Linked DNA regions of Drosophila melanogaster. The protein of the gene in region 1 interacts with the protein of each later gene in a pairwise test. Each region holds a gene or a part of one and is shown in the gene's direction. Other genes may lie near its edges.

Evidence for each region.
Region 2: the proteins of yip7 (region 1) and moon interact in a two-hybrid assay, tested with the Drosophila melanogaster proteins (one large-scale study listed by BioGRID).
Region 3: the proteins of yip7 (region 1) and Fa2h interact in a two-hybrid assay, tested with the Drosophila melanogaster proteins (one large-scale study listed by BioGRID).

Annotation. Positions count from the first base shown.
Region 1 is NT_037436.4:6,032,220-6,037,436, forward strand, and holds yip7 (yippee interacting protein 7), read left to right. Parts: upstream 1-2,996; 5' UTR 2,997-3,023; coding exon 3,024-3,283; intron 3,284-3,339; coding exon 3,340-3,892; 3' UTR 3,893-3,956; downstream 3,957-5,217. Other genes in the region: CG10477 (uncharacterized protein), read right to left, coding at 1,516-2,074, 2,127-2,386; CG6462 (uncharacterized protein), read left to right, coding at 4,892-5,217.
Region 2 is NC_004354.4:12,070,714-12,075,990, reverse strand, and holds moon (moonshiner), read left to right. Parts: upstream 1-3,172; 5' UTR 3,173-3,260; coding exon 3,261-3,779; 3' UTR 3,780-3,983; downstream 3,984-5,277. Other genes in the region: CG34323 (uncharacterized protein), read right to left, coding at 5,110-5,277.
Region 3 is NT_033778.4:7,444,853-7,454,302, reverse strand, and holds Fa2h (fatty acid 2-hydroxylase), read left to right. Parts: upstream 1-2,749; 5' UTR 2,750-2,857; intron 2,858-4,307; exon of another isoform or gene 4,308-4,523; 5' UTR 4,524-4,534; coding exon 4,535-4,885; exon of another isoform or gene 4,886-5,136; coding exon of another isoform or gene 5,137-5,309; intron 5,310-5,361; coding exon of another isoform or gene 5,362-5,520; intron 5,521-5,683; coding exon of another isoform or gene 5,684-5,991; intron 5,992-6,047; coding exon of another isoform or gene 6,048-6,516; intron 6,517-6,591; coding exon of another isoform or gene 6,592-6,649; exon of another isoform or gene 6,650-6,830; intron 6,831-7,121; coding exon 7,122-7,349; intron 7,350-7,413; coding exon 7,414-7,902; 3' UTR 7,903-8,114; downstream 8,115-9,450. Other genes in the region: CG11125 (uncharacterized protein), read right to left, coding at 5,137-5,309, 5,362-5,520, 5,684-5,991, 6,048-6,516, 6,592-6,649; kappaB-Ras, read left to right, coding at 8,608-8,721, 8,786-9,277.

The DNA of each region.
Region 1 (5,217 bases):
CGAAAAACTTTTCTAATTTGCGCATTATGAAAATTGGGTTCCTGCATAAAAATTCACCAGCAATCCCGAAAACGAGAATTAAGTGAAAAGCAATTTTTGAGCCTAGTCAAAAGGGAGAAAATGAATGTAAGGAACTGAGAAAAACTTTTCCATTAAGAAAATTAACTGAGATTAAGTGGGGCCCTATGCTTTAGTGCCCACCGAAAACTTTATCCAATTGGGACGGATCAAAATTGCAACAATTTCAAGGCATTTAAACAGTTGTCACATACACACCCACTCACACACAACCAAAGGAAGTGGGCCGGAAGTGAGCTCGAAAACGGAAGCAGCCCACAACACATGAAATTGGCTTAGGGAAGGAAGTGGGAGGCAGGCTAAGGGGAAGGGACTTTATTTGTTGCCTGCCACACTTCGGTTGCTTGTTTGTCGGCGTCGTCCTCGTCGATACTAATCTAATTTTATTGATATTGACACAATTTCTGCAGATTTCCGCATAAACATAAAAACAGAGCTCGAACCTTGGAGCTTCGGCTCAAGTAGCAAAACAGTCAAGGCACGCAAACAAATGGTATCTAATAAAAATTGAACAAAAAGCAAACAAAAGTTCGATGATGCGGCCGCCATTGGATGGAAGTCAAACAATACTGAAGTGCTCGGCGGCCATTTCCGTTTGCAAATGGAGAACACAAGAAATATCAGTCTAGGCAATACTGTATTATAGAAGTTTGAAAAACAATTCATAGAATAGTGTAACTTGTATATAGCAAATAGATTTTCTTAACATAATAATAATCGTACTCATTTTATTTCATTGTGAAAAATTTAAAATCACATTTTAAGGTGTGTAGATATTATTAAGCTTAACGTTCATTTTATATTATATCAAGCAAATCTAAGTCCAAGTGAAAATTCCCAAAATTAATCGCTTTGTATTTGCCCAAGATAAGGTAACATTAATTTCGGGTATTACCCACTTGAAAATTTACAATCCAATTGATAACTAATACAGATTTTTATTGATACGGATTTTAGCTTTCTGCTTGATAAGCCAACCAGTTTCGGAAACTTAATCGTTTGACACGGGAAGGTAAACGTAGTTAGTAGATTTCTTGTAGAAAAAAAACCATTTAAACTCTAATTTCCCCTACCAGGTGGGACTAAGCTTCGTCGGTACGGAGAGCGGCTGGTGGTGCTTCATTTGGCTCACCCGATGGCTGCCAGGTTGGGCAGGATGTGGGCTGGATCAAGGCCATTTTCTAATATTTTTAACAATAATAAAAAAACGTTCTAAAATTCTTGGTATTTTCTTGTATGGAATGAATAAAAAGGTTCCTTATTACGTAATTAATACTCAAAATATTTGTTTTAGATAAGAAAAAGATAAGGGTATGTCCAACATAAAAAACATAATCAGTTACAATTCAGATTGCGCTGTTGGGTTCATTCCTATAGCCGCTCAAAAATAGGCAATGCTTTTTAGGAATATGAAAACTGGACTGCGTGGCTTTACGGCTAATAAAACACACCGGACTGGTTCTTGATCCAATCCAGATAGCTGGTGACGCGGGTGAAACCAGCAGGCGCATTTTTCTCACATCCCTTGGAGGACACAAACGAGGTCACACCAATTAGTCTATTGTTCAAAGCCAACGGACCGCCAGAATCGCCCTGACAGGTCGACTTCTTGTTGATGGACTCCACGCAGATAACTCCACTGGTGACCACAGATGACCCAAAGGTCTTCTGACACACAGCATTGGTAATGACCTGAAATTGTGCGTATTGAAGGTTCGTGGCGACGGCAATGCTGGAATCGGAGGTCCTGCCCCATCCGGAAGCCACTGCAGTCTGTCCGGCGTAGGTGGAGTAGCTGCTGGCGATGGCGGGCAGGGCAATCTTATTTATGGAAACCGTAAAAGTGACGGATGGAGTCTTGATCAGGGAGATGTCGTTGCGCAAAGTAGCCGCATTGTAGCCGGCATGCTGCACAAACTTGGAGCTGGAGACCTTTTTCTTCAGTTTGGCACTAGTGCGAACGGTGGACCCATAGTAGATGGTCACGGAAGAGGCTCTAACAGAATAAATCTTAAATCGATTATCGATTTTTTAAAAAAATTACTCACCCTTTGGTGCAATGAGCAGCAGTTAGTACCCATGTATTCGCTATTATTGAACCACCGCACCACCAACTGCCAGCCGAGCTTTTAAAACTGAGTCCCACCTGGTAGGGAAACTGGTTAGCAGCTGCCTTGTTTCCATTGGTAATGCGACCATCTATGGACGGAACAGCTGAGCTATCACGGGGATGTACTGGAGTGTCCTGGCGCAGGATATCAGCAGAAACTGTGGCAATTGCCAAGACCAAGACAGCAAAAACCTTCATCTGGATCGAATACACTTTAAAGAGTGAGCAATTTCTGGTATTAAGGATCATTTTATATTGTCTTTGAAATCAGCAGCGAAACAACAGAATTGTAAATCTTTAACCATTAAATAGGCTTAAAAAGGTCTTAAAACCACTGTACCTTACATCATTATGGCAATATTGCTTCCAATTTACCAAGAATTAAATAAAATAAAAGCAAATGTTTGCTTTGGAATCTTTTTATAAAGTCCTATTCTTTATGGCTTACTCTTTAAGTTACAACGTAAATAGGCAGTTAAGATAAAGAAATATTGATAAGTAATAAATAATTGTTTTTAACCAAGCAAATCCCAACTAGCAAAACAAAAGCACAAAAGTGGTAATGCTACCAAAGTAATTATCTTTTATTCGCACAATTTGAAAGTCCCTAATTTGTGATGAAGAAATAAATGCCAGTAGCTACATTAATATCTTATCAAATAGAAAAATTTTACAAAAGCGCCATATAATAAACTTAAAAAAATTTTTGCGACACTTAATCAGAACATTTAAGTGGACTTGCCCAGCCATCTATGCAGATAAGATTTCTCAGTCTGGGTATAAAAGAGGCCGTGTTGGAAAGGGAAAATCACTCATAGTTTGAGCAACCATCAGCATGAAGGTTTTCGTAGTTTTGGTTCTGGCTCTGGCCTCCGCCTCCGCTGGGCTCCTGCCCAATATTGCCCCTGTACATCCCCGTGACAGGGTCTCGACCCCATCCATCACCGGTCGCATCACCAACGGCAAGGACGCCGTTGCCGGCCAGTTCCCCTACCAGGTGGGACTTAGTTTCTCCAGCTCTGCTGGCAGTTGGTGGTGCGGTGGCTCCATCATCGGAAACGAGTGGGTGCTGACTGCTGCTCACTGTACCGACGGGTAAGTGCATTTTCCGTCCTTCAAGACCAGGTCTAATGAGAGTATTTCCAATATAGTGCCGCCTCCGTGACCATCTACTACGGTGCCACTGTCCGTACTAGCCCCGAGTTCACCCAAGTCGTCAGCAGCTCAAAGTTTAGGCAGCACGAAAGCTACCTGGCTTTGACCATCCGCAACGACATCTCCCTGATCCAGACTTCGTCCGTGTCCTTCTCGGCTACCGTGAACAAGATCAGCCTGCCCGCCGTCTCCAACAGCTACTCCACCTACGAGGGAAAGACCGCTGTTGCCTCCGGATGGGGTCTCACCTCCGACCAAGCCACCGCCGTGTCTCGCGATCTGCAGTACGTGGACCTTACCATCATCTCCAACTCCAAATGCCAGGAAACCTTCGGAAGCCTGATCGTGACCAGCAGGGTCCTCTGCGTTGACACCACCAACAAGGCCTCCACCTGCCAGGGTGATTCCGGCGGCCCATTGGCTCTCGATGGTGTCCTCATCGGTGCCACCTCCTTTGGATCCGCTGATGGTTGCGAGTCTGGCGCACCAGCTGCTTTCACCCGTATCACTTACTATCGCGATTGGATCAAGGAAACTTCCGGTATCTAAGTGTTGAAGTATGAAATATGAAAACTGCAAAATATTATAAATAAAACTGTAATCATGATTTTACACATGTTAGACTTTTAAATAATGTCTAGAGATTGAGATCTACTCTCTTACCGTTTAATGAATCAGATTTCATAATAACTCTTATAGACTAACTTAATACACTTCTGGCTTTTGATATCGCCAAAGTGGGTACTTTATGATCGGTGACGAAATCGGGGCCTTGGATTGTAAAACCCCACAGCCATTCAACTCCAGGAAAATTATCAATGGCCTTTCATGTGTCGAAATGCAGGCGAAGGTGTGCAGTAAATTAAACAAATAATAAACTAAGCGTTGATAAAACGACAGTCAATAAATACAGAGACCCCGACCCAGACATTCTGGCCAATGTTGGGGGCTAAGACTGAAATCGTGCAATTGAGGACCCGGGAAAATGGGGGGTTCGAAAGCAATTAAGGAAACTGCAGTATGCCAAAGGGAGACGAAGGCCTAGCCTAAGCAACATAATCGCCAAAACGTGCGGCAATTACACGGTAGCTGGAGGAATTGAATGCCAAACATCTGCTGCTCCTCCCGTCTCCGTATAATTTGCACTCGGCCCAAGCAAATTCAATTAACAAACGATGCGGACACGTGCCGCATCCAAGTCGATGACGCAATGTCGATGCCACAATCGCTGACTATAAAAACACCAGCAAATACAACAACAAGCCCAGTACTTCACGTGAAGAGCCCACTCAGACCTGAACTTGGACTAACTCATTACGAGGAACATCAGCTATATATATAATATATGTAAATAAAAAGGCAATTCATTCATAAATTTCATTCAACATAATGAATAGAGTTTCCTATTCACATATTTAAGGGGGGGGGGGGGGCGGGGGGTATTCTATGAATTTGGTCAGAAAAAGGAAATATTACATTTAAAAGATATAGTATAGAATGCAATAACAGGTATTCCCCATATTATTTTTTCAATTCCGTAGTGATAAAATGGCGCAATACCAGGCTACAAGTGCTTTCTTCCTGCTACTTCTATCATCCACACTAGTTAAATCAAGTGAGCCTTGGCTAGATACTTTTGAGCACCCCAAAGAGGAGACACCGGACGATGACGATGCAATCATGGAAAGACGTTGGCAGCTTGGCTACGAAAACTTTCGACTTCGCTGCGAAAAATTCGAGATGGAAGGTAATCAAACCGCTGCTGTGAGAACTCGAATAGCTGGAGGAGAATTGGCCACGCGCGGCATGTTTCCCTATCAAGTGGGTCTGGTGATTCAGCTGAGTGGCGCAGATCTGGTCAAGTGCGGTGGTTC
Region 2 (5,277 bases), on another chromosome or scaffold:
CGGCACTTGCAACTAGCGACTCTGTGCCAGGTCTGTCCTTTCGGCCCGGCTGACATCTTCTTACTCCATTTGGGCGCGCTGTCGTGTTAATTTAGCGCGAAATATTTGACAAGATGACGCGATGCCACAGTCCCTGCGCCCATTTGCACCCCTCGCAATGGTGCACAGGCAGAAAAAACGGGTCACTTGTGCAGTTCAGTCTTTTGACTGGCTTGCAAATACGTTTTTTTTTTCACTTTGGCCAAGGACTAAAACATGGACAAACTTAAGCTCTCTCGTGCAAAACTGCTTTTATTGCGTTAATAGCTACTTCATTTCTTGCAGTGTATGCCAGGACAGGCACTCTTGTCGACGGCAGTAACGATCGAACTTCAGTCTCAGTCTCGCTGTCTGTGCAACAGACACTCATATCGATTTATAAGATGCCACACACTCCTGACATTCGATAGTGACTCCACTGTCGTGTCCTGATGTCCCGATGTCCTGATGTCCCGATGTCCTGATGTCCCGATGTCCTGATGTCTCGATGTCCTAATGTCCCAGTGTACCGCCCCAAAAGTCCTAGAGTTGCCGTGATTGAGCTGCGCGGTCGCTTTAAGTGATTTGCTCTCTCCAGCTAATTCGCAGACAATCCAACGTAAAAGCCGCAAGTGACTATTGACAGTTTGAACAAGGACTACACGAAACTTGGTTCTGGATTCGAATCAAGAAGATCACCAAATATATATTATTGAAATACTCAATTATTAGCGAAACTCTTGATTTTATCGATTTATTATGCCATTCTTTTTAAGTTAGTAACCAATTCAAGTGACTCGAAAGTTTTGATCGCCCATGCCATTTATGATTCAATTCAATCTATGCCTATGGCCACAAATAGTCGAGTAATTTATCGTATAAACTGCATTTTCAAGCCAAACTACTCACGGCCCAAATCAGCCGCATAATCAGCGCTATCGCCATCATCATCGGCACTATCATTATCATTATCATTATCATCATTGTTCCTTGTCGCGTCGTTGGGGATCGAAGGTTGTCGTTTGCTATTGGGGGGGTTACACGGGTTATTGAGGGTTACAAGGAGGTTACAAGGTGGTTACAGAGGGAGGAGGTTCATAGTAGGGAGCCAGCCAACGACAGACAGAGTCATTTATAAAATTTCCACCCGAACGTGTTAAATGGCGTCAATATTAAAAGTTCAAATATGACGCTGACGATGACGACGCTTGGGGAAAATGGGCAAGGGAAAATGGTTATGTGCGGGTGCATGGACGGTGACTTTAGGGGTTCGCGGGTCTAGGGCGTGATAAAATCGTAGGTTTGGCCAGGCAGGCAGACTAACATATATAGACGGCAAACGAATCAACAAACGTTGAAGCTATTATCGTTGTCGCAACATCGCACAACTACAGATACAACTGCGGCGTAACATGCATGGGTGTCTCTGGTCTAAGATAAAGGGGGTTCGTAACTGAAGTCTAGAAAGGGATATTTGCACTTTTAGAAAATAATAGCTACAAATCAAAGTCTTGAAAGTTCAAAAGCAGGCAATCATCTTGTTTTAAAGAGTATCCTGGTACCTTTATGTCTTGTCTTAAATGTAGTACTTAAATATACGAGTTTAGATCCCTTCTGCGAATGCCACTGCATACACACACACATATGGCATATGGTCCTTGTTGCTATTGCTCTTGCTGCTGCTCATCATCATCTTTTGGCGTTAGCAAGTGCTTGGCGGCAACTTCTAATGGCGGCATTATGCCCGCCAAACTCCACCCCCCTCCCCAAGCCTTATTCTGCTCATGAGTGTGTGTGTGTGTTTGTGTGTGTGTGTGTGCGCCCTGCGCAAAATGAAAATGAAACTGTTGCAAAATCCCATAAAACGGCCAAAAAGCTTTTGTAAATGACGCCAACAGCTGTCGATGGCAAAGCAGACAACGTCGCCGTCCGCCCAATTTGCCAAAGCACCCACCCACTCACTCATGAAGCCCCAAACACCCCCCCACCCCTTCGGAAACACCCCCTTCGTTGTACCACGATTGACATCTATGTGTGGGTGCACCGCTAAAAAATACTTCTATTTGAAATGATCGCTTTGTCTTAAGGTTTTTAAAACATTATAACATAGCATAGTAATACATAGTAATACTGAACTTGCCACAATAGAAACATTTGTATTCGATTTCAGATTATGTAACGCATATGTGAAATAATTTATTAGACTTAAATTGTTTTCAATACCAAATTGTTTTCACTGCTTAATTGTGTGTTAGAAATGGGGGTTAGATGGCGCTGCTAGTGGTGAGTGGGGCATCGTGAAGGTTTTTGGCGCGTTTTAATAAAGCGACAATGACATTTTATGAATTTTCCACTTTGTTCTCGGTCCACGCCCACAATACGCCAACCCAACACCCCCTAACCCGCCGATGACACCACGATGCCAGCCCCTTTGTGCTGTTTTCATTATTTGTTTGTTTGCCGAGAACCACAGACTGGCGGCCGGTTGGAATCCAGGACTCCAGGACTCCAGGACTGTAGGACTCCAAGACCAGGACTTCCAAAACTCCAAATGAATTGACATTGTCTGTGTATTCGACGGCTGGTTCAGTGTGTGTGTGTGCCGTGGGTTGGAGGGGGCAAGCCCCCGTGTGTGTTAGTGGGTGCTGGTGCCTGGGTGTTGCACAAAGGCGTGTCCCAGTGTGCCTTTTGATATCGGATTTCATTTATAATTAGCTGCAAAGTTAACGGTTGCCAGCCATACCTTGACTTGTGGTTGGTGGTGGCCCCGGTCAAGTAATTTGCTTGTCAGTTGGGTTCCCGGGGTTACTTGGCTCACCAGATGGATGGCAAGGCTGCCATGGGGCTGCACTGCAGGTGGTGGAAGCTGTCCAACGGCCAGGAAGATGTCGTAGTTTAAGTTAAAAGAATCTTTAAGCAAGGCTTTTTTTCCAATATTCTAGCCCCTTTCGATTGCAAGATAACTTAAAATTTAAATTATATTACCATTTATAAATGCACATGAGTAAAATTGTTATTATTATTATTGTTATATATAAATATATATCTATATAAATTTATTTAATAGCTTATAACATCGTTATCAGTGTGAACATTCTATAATCCTCCCATGCATTGCGGTAAGTCGATGATCAATTGTATCGATCGATAGCAAGCTTAATCTATCGGCGTAAGCAGCGTAGCTCTCATAAAACAATAACATTGAGAACCAGTCATTTCAACCACATTGCTTTGGCTTTGCCATGGCCAAGATATTGCCCACCGATGGCATCTGGATACCGGAGTCGTGCAGCTTTCCGGAGGATGTGATGATCGATATGATGGAGGGACTATTCCGCGATGTGCCAAACCTAACGCACAAGGAGTACCTGGCGCTGGCCGACCTGCAATCTAGATGGATGGCGAAGCTGGCCAACCGACAGCCGGAATCGAATCCCCTGCCGCCAAAGCCAAAGAAGCGTAAGAAAATCGCTCCAAAGAAGCAGGACCAGCCTGTCGAGGAGAAGGGCAGCGAAGTCGACATCTACGATGTGGACGACAACGAGATGGTCAACAATCGCATCTACATTCCGCGACTGCGTTCCGCTTGGAGAGCTCGCTATTTCAACATTATGATGCGCGCCTTTGTCATCAAACGGGGACTATTGAATAAGCACATTAACTGGCAGATTCTCGACAAGATCATGGCAGCCCCCGACGCAGAGGGACAAGCCGAGCTTCAGGCGTTTGTTGACAAAGTGGTCGCAGGCCAGGAAATGTAGTCCTTACAGCCTCCTAGGATAAGCACCCAAACACATAGATATGTAAATTCAAAATATCAATTGTTTACTCAAATTAAAAATAACAATTGTATAATCAAATCAACCTTTGTAAAATCATACCAATTGAACATAAGCATAGGTGTGAAGCAAAACCAGAGCCAATAAACCATACGAATGCCATCGTCTTCTGTGGGCCAAATCAACAAACGTTTTCCCAATTTCCCCATGAACGGCTCGGTGCCACACACCGAAACATGGGAGAAGTTACAAAGTAAATTCCACGCCCGGTTGCCAAGTGGTAGTCCAAATTAACAGCTAATTACGTGCGAATGAGAGCTACCCGGTTGGGGGATGTGGTCCAAATGTACTGGCTGCGAGCAAAATGGAAAACGGGGCAGGTCACAACGAACACGTACTAGCAACTAAATGGAGAGAAAGCGAGACAGACACCGAGTCAAACAACATTTGAATACGAAATTGCCCTTGAAAAAAGGGTTGCCAGCAAAAAAAAAAAAAAAAAAAAAACAATCAAAAAAAGTACAAGATATTCCAAAAGTCCCTGCGAGGCGAGAACAAAAGTGACAAATTAGTCAGTGGGTGGGGGTGTCAGTGGGAGGCAGTCGACACTGAAAGCGTTAAAATTGAGATGGGGTGCGCCAAAAATATCCACTCGGAAAACGTTGAACTTACATATATAATGCAAGACAACTTGGTCGTTAGACCGGGTCTTTCTGTATTCTTTCTGGTCATTACAACATAATATTGTGGCGGTTGTCATAAGGAAACTTTCACAAATCTGCACACGTAGCTCGATCTCTTTTTGCATAATTACCAGCCAAGTCAAGAAACAATAGGTAGAGGTATAGTAAGTATACATTATCATTTTTCTTTCAAACTTCAAATTGTATAAAATCTGTTCAACGTTTAAGCAACTACAATACGGCAAGTCAGAAAAGAAAAGTTTTATTTTGCTTAGATATTTCATGTTTTTGATCAATTTTCTTGCATTGTTTCTCTATATATATTTCAATTTGGAATATGGAAATGTGCAAATACCCTTAGTTGATTGTATTGAATATTGTATTGTATAGTTGATTGGATTGAATATCTAAAGTTGTTCCCTATTATGTATTTTTTCAGCTGCCACTGTGTGTGGTTATTGTCGGTTTGTAGATTTGTAAGCAATGACTCTGGTCCTTAGGATCCAGAATCCAGGATCCTTAGGATCGGACTTGGAAAATTAACGCCCCAAAAAGGGATTGTGTCGTTAAATGGGGGCATTTGCATTTCAGCACCCGGTTTAATGGGAACTGAAAAGTTCTCCGATGTTTTATCCAGATGATTTAACGGTGAATATTCCGAACGTATTCGGTATCTCCCCATCGTGTTCGATGCCTAATTGTACCCCAAAGTACAGGACGTCGCCAACGTTTACTTCGCACCAAGAACTGCCGATTCGCGTCGGCCAATAGTTAAGAAATATGCCATTATTGGTTTC
Region 3 (9,450 bases), on another chromosome or scaffold:
AATTCAGTTAGATGATACCGAATGATACACACACGCTTTCTGTAATATGATTAATCGATTGTCAGAAGGAATAATTAAACCCGCTAAAAAATATGCAATGAAAATATGTTCTTCAGATTGTATCTTTACAATTGTTCCATACATTATGATAAGATTCTTTTGAGAATGGTGTGAGCCCACAATAAAGATTTTATTTACCCATCTGTTGCGATATCGAACTTTGATAGATTCTTATCTTGGATATAAGGCGTGTGTCGTATTGTAGCCACAGAATGTTACACACATCACCATCAGGAACTGAAATATTTACCTTATGAAACTCAATCGAATACTATTTTCATATTCGTTACTCATAGGGTAAAAGTATATATACTAGATTTGTTAAAGTACATTTATATAGTAAAGTATATATTCTTGATCAGGGTCAATATTGGAATCGATCTGGCCGTGTCCGTCCGTGTAGAGGTTGAGATCCAAGTTTGGCCAATTTCTATCGGTACAGCAAAAGAACTTTGGCCACGCACCTTCTAACCGCCCACACTTTTAAATTTTTTGTATATTTTTTTAAATTTTATTATTTGCCAATTTCTGGCGGGAACTAACCGAATCTGGATCTGGGCTATGGGATTTTTCCGTTCATATGAAAGTCTCGATCTTAGGCACTATAAAAGCTAGAAAGTTAAGGTTAAGCATGCAGATTCCACAGACATAGACGAAACTTATTTTCGATAACCCTGGTTGTTAAGCTTACCATAACGCCCAAAGCTGCCACGCCCACAGTTTTAAAGATAATGTTGAAATTTTTCATTTTGTATGAATTTGTATTTAAGTTTGTTGTTTTGATAATGTATTTTATAAGACTTGCAAGCATTGGGATTAAAATGGACATTTTTGAAAAGAAAATACGCTGAACATTTCTAATCAAACTAGTTCTAAGGCACAGACTAGTATGAGTATACTAGAAATGCCAAGAAAAAGGCCACAGACTGGACTCCCATGGCATAAATATGTCCCATCCTTCAAAAGCGCTGGGTGTTTTATCCTCTATTGCTTACCTATTCTATTATGGTGTCACACGTGATTAATATGGTTATGGGTGTTGTCACATTAGAGAGTAATTACTTCCTGCTCAAACTTATAAGCAAACTTATCGAGGTGACCCCGCACTCAAGCCAATCAATTCGATTCCCATTCGACCTGTATGATATTAGTGGCTTTGAAGGCGATTGATGCGATGACATGTGTATAATTAACTTCTTCGATATAGTCCCTTGCCATGGACAATAACTAAAATGGTGTCCGTGGGGATTGGCTTGGCCCTTAAACGTCAAGTTGTTGGCACAGACTTGCATTCCCCTTAGGGAAAAGTGGACACAACTCGCCAGCGAACTAGCAATATATTATATATCCCTATACGAATCTATTAGTCTACTTAAACCCAGTGCTATACTAACAAACATATACAAACTATAACTGGGTTACTCCGCGGTTTTCTAACCCATTGAGATGCCTTACAAATTCACCTTTGTGGCTTGAACCGAGCTATTGTGGCTTATCGAAACCTGTTAGTTAGGCTTCACTTTTGCTCACTCAATCGACTTCACTACAAAAAGACGATTAAGCATTACCAACCACACTATCACTGGCACTTAACTGGGATCTCGAAAAGATTTTTTTGGTTCGATTACTGGCAAATGAAATGTACTAAATTAATATTTTAACTATGCTATGTTACATATATCATGAGCATGAGAAACTCTTTAAATCTCAAAACCATTTTAAATAGGGTTTTGATTTGTATCAGTAATAAATGTTCTATAGAAAACGTAAGAAGTTATGTCTGTGAAAGGATGTTTTCATAACTAACATATTTATTAAGTATTAAGTATATAGATAATATATAAATAAGATATACATATGTAAGAACTAAAAATGCCACACTTTTACTATACTTAGGTTACAATGAATCCTAAAATGGATTGGAAATATACAAGGGTCATAATTTAAAAAATTAGATCTATGATATAAGGACTTTTTCGAACTTATAGGTCCTATTGCTGTAAACCTTTGCTTAAAGAACATTTTCGTGCCTCGGAATCTAAACATCATAAGTTACCAACGTGATTTTATATTAGCAGTAGAAAATTATTTCTTGACATGAGGGCAATGATACCATACATCAGGACTGATTCGAGAGTCAAGTGCCCAATAGGAGTACATACTCATGCGAAGAAGTACCTCCATATCGTGGTAAGCACCGAGGAAGCTCGCCGAGGACGATGTTCATGGGTGATTCATTTTCGATTGCCGAAATCAGAGTTCCGATTCGTGGTGACTCGTCTGGGAACAATTTGTATAGGAATCTTGATAAGGGCTCCAGCAATAGTTATCCGCAGCTCGTTAAACGCAATCGAGATCTACGTCAGGATTGTTAGAATATTGGAACACGCAGCGATAGCTACATTTACGGTGCCTTGCAAATTGGACGATAAGAGTTCGGATCGGTACAATCATTACCGGCAGTCCTCCCACTTCGTGGATCACTGTATCTGGAACTACAACTGGAACTTGTCCGGGTTTATCTTATCGTAGCCGATGCGTGGTCCGCTTCGTCAGGAGCACCGACGGCTAGTGGTTAGGGCTAGAGGTGCCGGTAACTAGCAGCGGCTAGAGCCCACAAGATAGCACTGAGCAGCGACGTCGGCGTCGACGCCACGGATGTGGATGTGTTGGGTGGGTGGGCCATAGTTCAGTCGTGAGTTGCGTTGCGTTGCGTGCGGTCAGAGGCTCTGCCGACAGTTGGGAACCCGGTCTGGAGTCAAGAGCCCAGTGTTTTGATCAGAGCAGTGCGAATTCGGTAAATAAATAATCCCGTGGTAGCCGAGGGTCTGAAATTATGCAAATTGCCTGGGTGCAAGTAGCACTAAGTGTGGCAAGCAGCTTAGCCCATAGTTTAGGACGATAGCCCAACTATGTATCTTCGATACTTTGTCATCGCCCGCGATAAGATATCATCCGACCCAGCCCGGTATCCGATCCACAGGTTTTCGGGGCACTGCTAACCCGGATAGATAAAGCTTTGCTTGCCACTATCACTCCCCGAACAAACGCCATTAGCCGCGTGTAAACACGAGTGTTGGGCTTCGTTTGATGGCTCCGCCAATGGACAGACCAGACCATAGGTGCTAGAGGTCGGGCAGACAGTGCCCAGCCTATCCCGCATATGTGTCTATGTGTCAGATAGACACTATTAATCAATGTGACGCAGCCCCAGCCCGGGGTTGAGTCAGAGCACCTGCTCCACCCTCAATCCTAACGTGGCACCCCGTTTGGGGACTTACCACTTGCCACTTTGACAAACGAGCCGTCTACTCCCTCTCATCCAAACCAAATCCCCGCGCTTACAGGCTTTCCTATCAGCATTGATAAGGCAAACTATTGACGGAGCAAGTTCGTCCGTGGAATGGCGACGCTCAGTGCGGCGCGTAGGCAAAAGGCAAAGTGCCCGCGCCGTTAAGAATGGAAATGTTTGTGCGGATCCCATATGGGCACGCATCATCGGAAAGAAACATCTGGCGCACTTCGGGAATGCCAAGTTCAATTGAGCCCCTGACGGCCACTGGGTGAAATGCCTCCAGTGCATTTCCAACATTGCTCTGTAGGTTGCAATTACGACCTGCAATTGATTCGCCCTAATCGCTGTAATTACATCTATTACCGAATCAATTAAACAAATGTTCTGCAAGTGTGGTGTTTCGAAAATCTTTCCCACACCCAACTAGGGAATCCTATAAGTTCAACGCCAGAATAGAAGGTATCAATCCAAAATTTCTTCAACTAAAAGGAAGTCAAAATAATATATCCTTAGGGTCACTAGAAATCGGATAGAAGTTAATTGATAAGCAAAACTTTGACTTTAATGGATACCTTGGAATGCAGATAATAGGTGCAGATACTTTTTCTATACTTATATTTTGGTTTCAATAGATTACGCTATCGTAGGTTTGGCTGTGAAATTTTTTTATGAATCATGAAAATGGCAAATACTATACAGTGCGCATATCAAATATGTAGGAAATGCTGCATCCCTTCAAAAACTATTAATAAAAACAGGATTATTTATAATACATTGTCGTTTTATTTGTGTAAATACCATAAGCATCAAGGTCAAAATTATGAATTCGTAACCAATTATCTCAGCAGATAGATAGCTGTTGTTTTTTTTTAATTAAACAATATGTTCTTAAGGAGATTTACTTAAAATATATTTGTGTGAAATATTTCATTTAGCTGCGCCAATGAGGGTTATTTAATTCAGTTTTTTGGGGATGATACATTTGATCTGTGTACAAAATAACTCTAAGAGGAGGTGAATTATATATTTAATTGAGCGTGTCCGATACAATATGGCATCATGTTGCTGCTGGGCACGCAAAGTAATTAATTCCAAAGATAATCAGTGGCAGAGTATCATGCTCGCAAAGGAACAGCAAAGTCTTATCCGATTGTTTTTCGCACTGCAGTTGCCAAATTGATGCCCATCGACATGGATATACCAAAGGAAGCGGAGTCGAACGACAAGTTCATAGTAAAGTATCGCCAGCAGTATTACGATTTGTCCAGGTTTATGCACAAGCATCCGGGAGGCATAAACACACTCAAAGGTCTCAACAGCGGGGACATGACAGCTCGCTTCCTAAAGGCGCCGCCACATTCGGATGCGGCCATGTACTTGATGAGGGAGTACAAAATCGATCCAGAGGACTCTCGGAAACCAAAGTCGAGCCAAAGGGAAACGTTGCATCACGATGAAGATGGGACTTTGCGACAACGGCCCAGGGAAACGGAGGACAAGAACAATAACCAGGTGGACGATAGTATGGAGGTAAGTTGGATGAGCGGTTTTTAATCTGTAACTCTAGTTGCTGGTCGACTGGATCGCACGTTAAGTTGGTCACAATGCTATCGGGGCGGGGTAGGTCTGCGATCCAAATCTCAGCTAAAAAATATATTATTAACGTAAGGCATGGTTGAAAGGAACACGCGTGTTTTGCAAATCCAAGATTCCAGTAGCTCGCTCGGTCAGTCAGTCGATGGAATGCTTTAATGTTTTTGGGAGCTATGTAGCATGAGTTCTCACAACTGTCGCGACTTGCTGGCCAGCACGAAGACCTTTGCCTTGGAGTATATGCGGATGTCCTCCTCCACGGTGGTCAGCTCCTTGTCGATCTCCGCCTTGCGGTTGCGCACCCTCAACGTCTGTGCAGTCATGGGCATGTGGTTCAGTTCATTAACCAGCTGTTCGTAGCCTGTTAAGATTCGTTAGCAAGGGTCAAACTTATAGTAGTAACATTAACTCACGTTTCTTAGCATTAGTGAGGTGCGTCAGTCGGTCCTGATCGCTGAGCAACACATGGCCACGCGGACAGTCGGGATCCAGCGATTCCGCAAGCTGCTTGGCCACCGCCTTCTCGCGCTTCTGCTTTTCCAGGTAACGCGGCAAGCGCACCTCATCTCGGGCTGTCAAAAAGTACAAATTCATGACTAGTTCAAATCAAATCAGGAGGGAATATAAGATATTTAAAATAGAGAATAATTATAGATTATATATGAAATAATTATCAAAGATATTTAATTTTGTCATTACTGTCGCTGACAATTGGTAAACAAGGGATAAACTCACATCCTAGTTTATGCTCACGACGCTTTGACTTAGAGCTTATGGTGGTGACATTGGAGGCCGTTGTGAAACGACTACGGGCACTGAGTGGAGCCTCGTCGTCTGAGGCGCCGTAGTTTGCAGGTTCGGCCTCGGTCATGGGCATAGCCTCCATTTCGGACATGTTGAAGCGACTCTGCTTCGAGGAGTTCGAACGCGCCGAAAGCGGCAACTGTTCCAAATCTTCCTCGTTTTCATATTGCATGGGTTTGTAGTTTTCCCCGTATTTTGCACCGGATTCCTCCAGTATAGATCTGGCATCAAAGTTACATCTGCGGATAAGATAAACCTTTGTGAAAACCTTCGAGTTTGGTGCAAAAAGTCATACTTCTTCAGAGCATTTGTTAGATAGAGTTCGTCGGTAATGTCCTCAGTTTGGATGGCTATGCTGGTGGAGCTCCGATTCGTGCCACACGATTGACAGCGATCAATGTCTGTATCCGACGAAGGCTCTTGGAGATTCTCGGATTCTAAGTTCTCCGACGGGTCATATAAGATGGGATTGCGCTCCTCCAGGCCATCGAAGCGTTCCCCCTCCGCCGGAACGGCCACGGCCAGTTGGTGCTGTGAGCGAGAGGTGCTGCGGCCATTTTGCAACGAGTTCTGTTTTATAGTTTTGCCCTTAGCTGCTGGTTTCTCCGCCTTCGAGTCTCCCATCACGGAGGAAGAGCGTCGCAGCGGGGGCATCCATTTCGGGCGCGTCGGCTCCTTAGCGGCCAACTTCTGGCTGGTGGACTTTTCCAGCGAGCGCAGGCTCACCTTGTTTTCCTTGAGGAAGTTTCGGGACTGTGTGACGCCTGTGGGAACGGAGACCAAAACAAATTACCAACTGGTTGCCATGGCCAAGCGGCTGTTTGGAAAAGAAATCTTACGCGGCACCGAAAAGATGCCCTTTAACGTTGGAATCGGGCGAACTGAAGTATTCGACATGTTCCACCTACTCCCGAACTATAACTAGACGGCTGGGGCTCCAGAAATGTGATCTCGACTACGACAAGTGGAAACTGCGTCGTTGTGTGAAGTAAGGCACAGGTTCAAATGACAATTTTGAACCAGCTGCTTGTGATTGTACCTGCTCATCGATGCCCGATAACATTATATATCGGTTCGGTGCTGACCCGCGGCTGGCCACATTCGAGCCAACTAACGGTTTATGGGATGTCCTAGTGTTTAAGTAAATATTAAATAAAAAAGCAAGTAGAAATCAAGTGAAATTCTTACTATTCTGTAATTATAGTAAAGTTAAAATAAAATAAATAAAAAAATATAAAATAAAATAAAAACTCTGCACAGCTTCTAATTTTAAATATTTAATTTTCAAAGGTAATTAACCAAACCAATTTATGGTAATACATACTGTATTAATTTATTGACTAACCTATTGTAAATTCATGAATTCCAGCACCTAGTGGACTGGTCTAAGGCAATGCTTCCGCAGATAGCTAACATAACGGATTGCTACGATGAGTGGGTTCACAAGCCGGTGGACAGGCCACTGCGTCTCTTTGACCCTTGGTACTTGGAGATGTGCACCAAGACGCCCTGGTGGCTGGTGCCCCTGTTCTGGATACCAGTGATCGTGAAATGCGCCGTGGAGGAGTTCACCACCGCCTGGCAGGATAGCAACCAGGTGAGTAGTCGCGCAATCTTCGCATTCTTGGATACGATCTTCTAAAAGTATCTTCTTTCTGCAGCTGGCTGTGTTCTCCGGTTACTTTTTATTTGGCGTGCTCCTGTGGTCTTTCCTGGAGTACACACTGCACCGCTGGGTGTTCCACGTGAAGCTGAGCAACAAGAGCGGAAGTTGGCTATGCACCTTCCACTTCATGATCCATGGCCTGCACCACAAGGTGCCCTTCGATCCGATGCGACTGGTGTTTCCGCCCCTTCCCGGCGCAGTGCTCGCCGCGGTCATCTACACCCCGCTCAGCTTTGTCCTGTCCCATCCGCGAGTGATCTTGTCTGGAGCTCTGGCCGGCTATCTGTGCTACGATATGATGCACTACTACCTGCACTATGGGAACCCTTCGCTATGGGCCTTTGTACACATGAAGCGCTATCATCACCACCACCACTTCTCGCACCAAACTCTCGGTTACGGCATCAGCAGTCCCTTGTGGGATGTCGTCTTCAAAACGAGAATCCATCTCCGCAAGCTGAGATACCAACTGCGCTGGTCCTAGCTGCAATAAATGGCTAATACAGTGCTACTATAGAACAAATTACATTCAGTTTTCAACGCAACAGAGTTGCTGCCGCAGCAAATAGTTCAATCAAATCGGAAATTTGGTTTTTAGCCTATTTGTGTAGGCTGAATACTGAGCATTAGGCTTAAGAATTATTTGTAAGACTTTTACCAATTTCTATTAAACAGGAATACACTTCCAATGATACCAAAGAACAAATGGAAAATCCTTTTTGAAAACAGAAAACTGGGCAATCAAAGGAACTATTGGAACTATTTTGGAACTATTTTGGGGAAAAACAAAAAATTTTCGGCAATTTTATGATGCGTCACCAAAGTTTACATTAGAAGTTTGGTACCTTACCTATATATGAGAGGGAATACTTTGATTAACTTTTAATTCCTTTGGTAAATGCCTTATCATCACTCTGGAGCGTTTAAATATTTTTGTTTAAAATCGAATAAATAAAGAAGCAGACAGACGGTTTGTATGAACACTTTCATTTACCTATTTCATACAAATCTGGTACAATCAGTTCAAGTTTGTTTAATAATTAATATTATATTATTAAAATTAGCTTAAGATAATTGTTTAAGACCTGTCTTAAGTGGAATTTCTCATTGGCGTTGCTTGGTCACACTACCAAGAATCCAGCGAAAGTTTTGTTTATTTTTTTGGGTCCCAATTTCTCCTGCTGGAATAATGCTAAATGCCAAGATCGGGAAGGTCGGCAAGGTACTGGTGTGCGGGATGAAGGGCGTGGGCAAGACGGCGCTGATAGAGCAGCTGGTCTACGGCCACGTCAATCCCGAAACGGTGAGAATGCCTTTGGCAGAGCTCAAAGTAAAGCTGATGTCTCATATCCCGGAGTTCATTGCAGGAACTGCATCCAACCATTGAGGATATCTACGTGGCCAGCGTGGATACAGGCAGGGGCGGAGCCCGAGAGACCCTGCGCATCTACGACACGGCCGGATTGCAGGGCGAGCAGCAGCAGCTGCCACGCCACTACCTTCAGTTTCCAGATGCATTCGTTCTGGTCTACGATCCCATGGATCCGCGCAGCCTTGACATGCTGGCCGACATCAAGGCTGACATTGAGAAGCACAAGGAGAAGAAGGAGATTCCCGTTGTGGTGCTGGCCAACGTGAGGGCACGAGCAGCCCCAAATCCCGTCGAGAAGGTCATGGACCGCGCCAACATCTGGTGCCAGCGAGAGCGCATAAAGCACTACACGGTGAACGCCATGGAGCGTCCCTCCCTCTACGAGCCATTCACCACGCTCTGCGCCCGGCTGCACCCAATGCAGACGAAGAGCACGTTCCCTCAGCTGCGCCAAGTTATGCAGAACCGGCAGAAGAGCGAGGCTTAGCTGTTTTGAACGGACGAAAGGGAAGAGATATAATTTAAGTTTTATTCGGGAGTGTCCCAATAATCTCCGATACTTAACAGTAGCTATGAATGCCACAGATTTGGCTTTAAGTTCAAGAGATCCTTGGGATCTCCCCAATCGTACTCGTATTGATCCATTTAGAGTCTACTTGC